2 linked regions of the Oryzias latipes genome follow. The protein of the gene in region 1 purifies or fractionates together with the protein of each later gene. This does not show direct contact. Links are inferred from orthologs where the notes say so. Each region holds a gene or a part of one and is shown in the gene's direction. Other genes may lie near its edges. The genes, in order: eapp and prpf6.

What was found.
Region 2: the proteins of eapp (region 1) and prpf6 purify together in Homo sapiens (affinity purification with mass spectrometry; 3 studies listed by BioGRID and IntAct, with this or other methods). This does not show direct contact. The link is inferred for Oryzias latipes from reciprocal best matches to the Homo sapiens genes EAPP and PRPF6.

Annotation. Positions count from the first base shown.
Region 1 is NC_019880.2:24,339,033-24,343,526, forward strand, and holds the start of eapp (E2F-associated phosphoprotein), read left to right. Parts: upstream 1-1,683; 5' UTR 1,684-1,813; coding exon 1,814-1,893; intron 1,894-2,206; coding exon 2,207-2,385; intron 2,386-3,693; coding exon 3,694-3,792; intron 3,793-4,494. UniProt on the Homo sapiens protein: May play an important role in the fine-tuning of both major E2F1 activities, the regulation of the cell-cycle and the induction of apoptosis. Promotes S-phase entry, and inhibits p14(ARP) expression.
Region 2 is NC_019865.2:15,457,684-15,460,724, reverse strand, and holds part of prpf6 (pre-mRNA-processing factor 6), read left to right. Parts: intron 1-472; coding exon 473-595; intron 596-730; coding exon 731-852; intron 853-996; coding exon 997-1,135; intron 1,136-1,232; coding exon 1,233-1,352; intron 1,353-2,746; coding exon 2,747-2,923; intron 2,924-3,000; coding exon 3,001-3,041. UniProt on the Homo sapiens protein: Involved in pre-mRNA splicing as component of the U4/U6-U5 tri-snRNP complex, one of the building blocks of the spliceosome.

The DNA of each region.
Region 1 (4,494 bases):
ACTCCTTTTTTGTCATTTTTGCTGTGATGTTTGCGATGCTTCCTGACAACTCACTGACTCTTTGCTGTTCTCCGTCGCACAATCGTTCCACTTGGACTTGATTTTTGAGGTCTTTGCCAAGATGCTTCAGCTGTTTTCCAAGTGTCTCGTTGTCTTTAAAAGCAGCTTTCAGAGTCTTCTTCATGAGTTTTTGAGCAGCCTTCAAATCTTCCATTTTTTGCAGACTCACAGAGATGTCTTCAACATGTGAGCCTGAAACGGTGATTTGCTGCAGATTTTCCTCAGTCAAACCTTTGATGTCGCACATTTCTGCTACGATGCTGGAAAAGTCACTGGGTGGATGTATGTTCATAACTTTAATTATGAAAGGTGATCAAATAGATTTCCTCAGGCGAGGTAAAGTTAGAGGAGCGATCACTGCATCAGTCTGGATCTGGATGTTTTGCCCCATTTGATATCTAGGGGGACCTAGAGGAGCACAACATAACAGTAAAGTCTTTTTGCCCTGACTTTAAATTAACACCAAAAACACCAAAAGAGTGTCTCCATAAAAAATAACATTTATTTACAAATTAATAAATACCGATCGACAATAACTAAAAGGTGAAGCAAAAAGGCTTCAGGGTGAACCAAACCCAAAATAACAAACAAAACCCCACCTGACTGAGATCTGAAATCTTACCTGTGACAAAACAATAACCTCCGTGGAGACAGGTTGCAGCAAAGCTCCCTTCTGGCAGGCTGGGGGTCCACATGCTGCTTGTAAAGGCTGCCTCCATCAGCTTGGGTCCAAAAGGAAGCCACACCCTTTCCAGCACCAAAGTAATCAGACAGACACACAAAAACCCACAAAACACAGAAGTCCCACTATGATACAAAAAAGACAGAACAAAAAGAACAAAACCGAATACGGCCACAGCCATAACACTGGAGGTCCAACAGGATCTTTGCCCTCTCATTCTCTACCACTTCAGAGGTGTTTCCCATTTTGACTTTATGGTTTCCAGTTCATATTCTGCACACATGTTCCTGTATATTATTCCAGCCACTTGATTGTGGCGCTCCATGTATGCTTTCCCTGCCAGTATCTTACACCCTGCAGTTATGTGCTGGATTGTTTCAGGCGCCTCTTTGCACAGCCTACACCTTGGGTCTTGTCTGGTGTGGTAGATCTGAGCCTCTATTGCTCTGGTACTCAGGGCTTGTTCCTGAGCTGCCAGGATGAGCGCTTATGGCTGAATAATCTTTTCACCTCTATTGTCCTTTTCAAGTTGCATGGGTTATCCTTAAACTAATCTTGAAAAACTTTTTATTTAATGCTTTTTGAAGTCTATAGTTATCATTATATTTTGGGGATACATAAAAATATATAATGTTTGAAAATTTTCTTAATTATTTTCATGTTATACCTACTGTTAAATCCAAACAATAATTAATTTCTTCTTTTTTATTAATTTTACTTTTCTAATCTTTTAAATTTAGCTTCAGCATTTTAACCTGACCGATTTTACTATTAAATTGTGGCTTTAGCAATAAATAAATTTATTTTTATTTGTTTCTTTTGTTTTATATTCCACCTACTTTTATTTTTTAGTTCTGAAATGAATTTCCTTTTAGATAGTTGAAGTAAAAATGATTTTAAAATGTTTCTCCACAAGAGGGCGGTAACGAGTTTTCCAAGTGCTTTTACCACCATAGAAGAAGAACCGATGCCGAAGAAGAAGACATACGTCAGACTGGACAGAGTGTAGACCAGTTTCGGGATAAATCTTTCCCGTTGTTTTGTCTTCTGAGAAAGTTTAAAATTGTTAAAATGAGCAAGTTTAACGGACCGGTGGAAAGTGAGGCTTATGAAATCGATGAGCCAAGCGACGAAGAACGCGCTTCGAGCAGGTATGATGTAAACAGACGGTTAGCTTCATGCTAGCAGCACGAGGCTAACAACAGCTGAAAGCAACAAAAACGGATAAAAACATTACATGTTTATGATTTGGTTTTTAATGATGTTTTTGATTTTAAAGGTAGAATATATGCAGGATAAACCAGTTCCTAGACGTTTAATTTTAAAGTTTGAATCAGGTTTTAGACCATGATAAAAGAGACGCAATATGTCGCATTTTGGCGCTGTGTTTTGCTTTGCTTCATGATCGTCATCATGATGAAGGTTTCCAAAAGTCCAGTTTTGAACAGAAACGCCTGTCTTCAGCTCCGAGGACGAGCTGGACGTGCTGCTGAACGGGACGCCGGACCAGAAGAAGAAGCTGATCCGGGAGTACCTGACCGGGGAGAGCGAGTCCTCCAGCGGGGATGAGTTTGAGAAGGAGATGGAGGCAGAGCTGAGCTCCACCCTCAGGACCATGGAAGGAAGCTGGGCCCCTGCAGCCGGTAACCCGTAACACGCACAGACACACACAGGGCCCTTCCAAACACAGAAACACCAAGCTTTTGTACAAAAGAGAGCTGCTTGTTGTTTTGAACCACTTTACCACATTGGAGCCACCAGCCCCAACCTCAGCCGCCTCCCAGCATCATCATCAGCAGCAGCAGCAGCAGCATAACTGTCCGTCTCTCCTTTCAAAACCATCTCATTCTGCTTCTAGAGCCTGATCTGGGGGGTATTCCAGAAAGCAGGTTATGCTAGTTACCACGGTAAGTTTGAGGCTAAGGAAGTTGATACCCTCAGCTTTCTGTTTTAGAAATGGAGGTATGCTTCAGGGTAGGTCAAGTTGCCATAGTAACTCATGCTCTGAACATAACCTGGTCTGGAGCAGGTTTAGTTGAAGCTTAGTTTGTTTTCAGAGAGGTGAAGCAGCATGGCGTGTCCATTTGAAGATGATTTAGTGGATGAAGAAGCTCAGATAATACTTTTTCCACCATTGTTCTCCACGCGTTTCCATGGTTACTCCGTAAATCGGCGATCTATTGAGAATGTCTTTATGTACCTGCTGTGCACGAGCATTAACCCAGGGTTACCAAGTCGAGCGCAATTACGCCAACTCATACCCGGTCTTTTGGAACCGACATACCCAGAGTAAGCGATTTCAGGCGGATTTCAGCCAGAGTTCAGGGTTAAAGTCAGGCTAGTTTAAACATGCTTCCTGGAACACCCCACAGGTCTTCTGATGTTTCCATTCCTCCATTCAGTGCAGCTTTAAAAGCTGTTCTTCTCTTTAGAAGCTGCAGACTTTAAGGTCTGAGCTGTAATGAACAGTCAGATCAGTGACCAGCATGGGAGGATTTGTAGATCCAGACAGGTTTCATGCAAAACTCAAAAACAATAGTTTTGACCTGATACCACTCATGTTTGGCTTCTTTACTTTGTTTTAATTAATAAATCATACAAACATTAGAAAAAAGATATATTTTAGAAATACTGTTCAATTTAAAATAGAAAAATGCTCTTTTAATACAATGTACTTGCTATAGTAGAAAGTCAAGTCAAACCAGCCGGAGTCCACAACCTCTCATCCACCAGAACCTTCAAATCCTCCACAATTCCAGGAGAAATTGAATGATTAGTTTGTGTTAAATAAAAGTCCCAAAACAAACCAATAGTTTGTAAATTTTGAATGTTTTTCTGCAAAGGCAGCTCATCAGCTGTTCTCTGGAGGGGTTGGTCTGCTTCTGTATTAATCTGACTGCAGACGAAGGTTTCAGGAGGGATTGCATGTGAAGGTTTCCTCTCTCCTGCAGCAGAAACTGGAGGAGGCAGCGAGGTTGTCGGTTCCTCCAACCCTCAGATGTACGACAGCGTTTACTTTGACTCTGATTCAGAGGAGGAGGACACAGCTGGTAAGACGCACACTGACGCGGCGTGAGCACGGGCATGCTAGGTTCACACCGCCCACGGGAATCCGCGTCTACGCCACTACTTCCAACGAGTCCAAGTCTATGTAAACGCTTGTAAATGCGCATTTCCGGCTTCTTCGGTCAAAACTCTTTTGTTCGTGCATCTCTGCGCGAGTCTTGATGTCTGTTTTTGTACAAAACCTGCACCCACTGAACGCACTTTGAAAGTTAAACCAGTTGAACTTTGACCAATCAGAGAGTCAGATTTGGTAGTGACGCATGCGTAGCATCCTTTTTAATTCACCAAATGGGCTAACTGGTTGAAAGGTGATCAAGAAGGAGAAATTCAAAATGTGCAGTTTGTGCCCTGCCAGAACTACATGACACACCAAGTCTTTCATAAACCGGAATCGAGCCGTGAAAGAAAACGCCTGGAGATTTGCACCGCTTTGAATTTTCCTCCCAAGCCTCCTCCAACTGGAGGTGGTGGACGTGTTGGCGCCCGTCCACTGTGAACACCATATGACAACGCATGTCCAAGAATGTGTGACACGTCTGGTGTGAACGTAATTGGGAGTGGGAATTGGACTAGGAATATTAATGTTAGCGGTTGACCGTTGTACCACCATGCCAGAAATTCTGTTCTAGTACATACATAGAATAATTCTCAGGGTTTGAATGCACGTCATGAAATGACAGAGAAAG
Region 2 (3,041 bases), on another chromosome or scaffold:
GTGCATCGTTAAAGTAACAGGAATATTTATTGAGGCTAAAGAGCCGCCGGAGATTTCAGACATCCAGAGTTCATGTCATGAATCCTTTGTCAGGGTTGTTCAACACATCCCAGGCTCCTCATCAGTTTCTCTGTTGATGTTTTTAAAAGCTGCCAGTAGAAACCGTTATTTCAGTAGTTTTTGTTCATAAATGTTAATAGTTTTTTGTATTTATTTAATCATGCCTGAATGTATTTACAGTTAGATAAAACATATTCTTTAGTGTTTTTCCATTCATGTTGGCGACGTGACAGTGTTATGCCACATATCATGGCACCTCTACCTCCATTCTTTACTGTTTGAGACTCCCTGTTGCTCAGTTCTAAGTTTGTTTTCAGCTGCATTTCTTTGCTGTATCAAATTTTTATTTCTCACATTATTTTCTGCCACCTTATCAGTCACAGTTGTTCCTCCGTCTGAATGTGTGCTGCAGGATGCTGAAGAGTGTGATAAAGCGGGCAGCGTGGCCACTTGTCAGGCTGTGATAAGGGCAGTCATCGGCATTGGCATTGAAGAGGAGGACCGTAAACACACATGGATGGAGGATGCTGACAGTGTAAGTTGGTTGAATTTGGAGCACAAGACGAGTCGGATCACTGCACAATGCACTGCTCAATTATCTGGCCAATTACATTATGTGATTTTATTTTTTTAATGGAGTAATTAAAGGCCTGTGGTTTTTGTGCTCCAGTGTGTGGCTCATGGAGCTCTGGAGTGTGCCAGAGCCATCTATGCCCATGCCCTTCAAGTGTTCCCCAGTAAGAAAAGTGTCTGGCTCAGAGCTGCCTACTTTGAGAAAAACCACGGGACCAGGTCAGTCTTTTTTTTTTTCAAACATATTTTATCATCCATGAAGTCGTGCTTTATTATCTTATTCTCCTTGCTTCATTTCCATTAATTGCATTCGATTCTATCTCTGTCACTTTTTGTTTTCTAACTTTTCATGGTGTGCCTCAGGGAGTCTTTGGAGGCCCTGCTGCAGAGAGCCGTAGCTCACTGTCCCAAAGCTGAGGTCCTGTGGCTGATGGGTGCCAAGTCCAAGTGGCTGGCTGGTGATGTGCCAGCAGCTCGAAGCATCCTCGCTCTGGCCTTTCAGGTGGCGATGAACTCCTGCAAACTCTGGACACATTATCATAATGATTATAAATTAGCTTTTAATGCAGACCAGTCCTTTGTTATTGTTTTCTTTTTAGGCCAACCCAAACAGTGAAGAGATCTGGCTTGCTGCTGTAAAACTGGAGTCTGAAAACAACGAGTATGAGAGAGCCCGCCGACTGTTGGCCAAGGCTCGCAGCAGTGCACCAACAGCCAGGGTGAGCGCCTGTGTTTGTTTATGCTCATTTCTCTTCCCTTATTAGGACCGTTGTGGTTACAACCATTCTTTTGGGAGGCGCTGGTCCTCCTGGGAATCAAAGTTTAGCTCTAAAGAGGAAAAACGTCATGTCTGCCATTAAAAATGGGGCCAAAATATCAGTAGTTTTGAAGCTGTACCTATAGAATTAGGTTTGAATTCAGACTTTGGAAAAATAAATGGAAGTCCTAATAAGGATATTGGAGTTTTAAAACTTTTTCTCCCAGACTTCTCCTAATACAAGCATTTAAATGGAGACTTCCCTAACTTTCTGATTTGCCTCCCAATATGATTGAACAGTTTATGATTAAATTAGCTCATAGTATAGTTATAATAAACCACATTTTTCACAAGATTGTCTGACAAGAGTCATGCCAGATTTGGCTATAATGTTGTGTTGTTTCCTGTCAGAAACCCGTTGTTCAATCATGATCTAAAAGAAGGTTGTCTCAGTCTTCTTTACTAATTCTGTTGAGGCCAGCAGTGTCAGTTAGTCATCTCCACTCACTTTGACAGGTGCTTTCAGAAAAGCCTGTCACCTGTCACCGTTGATCTTTATCGTGCTCCAATCCCGCCTCATATCGCAATTGTGTGCTGAGAGATGCCAACCTAAGAGAATCTACTCTGCTGTGGGCTGTGCTGATCCTGCTGTCAGACTGTTGAGGAAGCTGTTGATTTTTCAGGCTACAATGATAGAAAGTGGCATTGAATGGCTCACTTCTCAAGGCTGAAAAAAAGATAAATCAGAGTCCAAAATATAAAAAAACAGCCCAGACGTAACATCAACATCTGAAGAGACTCGAAAAATTTCCAGTTGAATATTTTATCCTGTACTTGTGTTGCCAATCACAGAAAAAAAAACATTTGATGGGACACATTTTAGGGTCTGTTGGTTCAGATACGCGTCTGATTATAGATGCTGAAATCCTTATTTTATTCCTTTTTGGGTAAAAGAGTAAAAGGTTTTATTGTTTTTGAATTGTTCATGTTTAATGTACTTGTTAAGTCTAAAATGTATATTAATTTATGTTTAGTGACCTATGTTCTTTATTTGGTAAAGTGAGTTTAAACTCCCGACTGCTTTTATTTTTATTTTTTTATAACAAAGCTCAGAAGTATTTTGCACTAATATAAATTAGCTTAATTGCAGCCATTGTTGTCGTTTTTTTGTGTATAGTGAAGAGTGTAGTAATCTTGTATGTTGGGACTGTAGCAGAAGTGTAAACTATTGTTTTATGGCTTTGTAACAAAGTCCAGACTTGAAATCTCTGACAGCCGGTATAATTCTGAATAAGGTCACATCCAGGCTTGCTGTGTAAAAAACACATTTGAACTTTTTCTTTTTTTAAATTTCAGGTCTTCATGAAATCTGTGAAGCTGGAGTGGGTGTTGGGAAACATAGAAGCTGCTCAGGATCTGTGCACGGAGGCGCTGAAACATTACGAGGACTTCCCCAAGCTTTGGATGATGCGAGGTCAGATTGAGGAGCAGTGTGAGAACATGGACAAGGCTAGAGAGGCGTATAACCAAGGGGTGAGGGGAAAAAAAAACAGACCAAACCTTAGGTGGATGAGCTCTTTAGGTGATAATTATCTTTTCTGTTTCCATAGTTAAAAAAGTGTCCACACTCAGTGGCGCTGTGGTTCCTGCT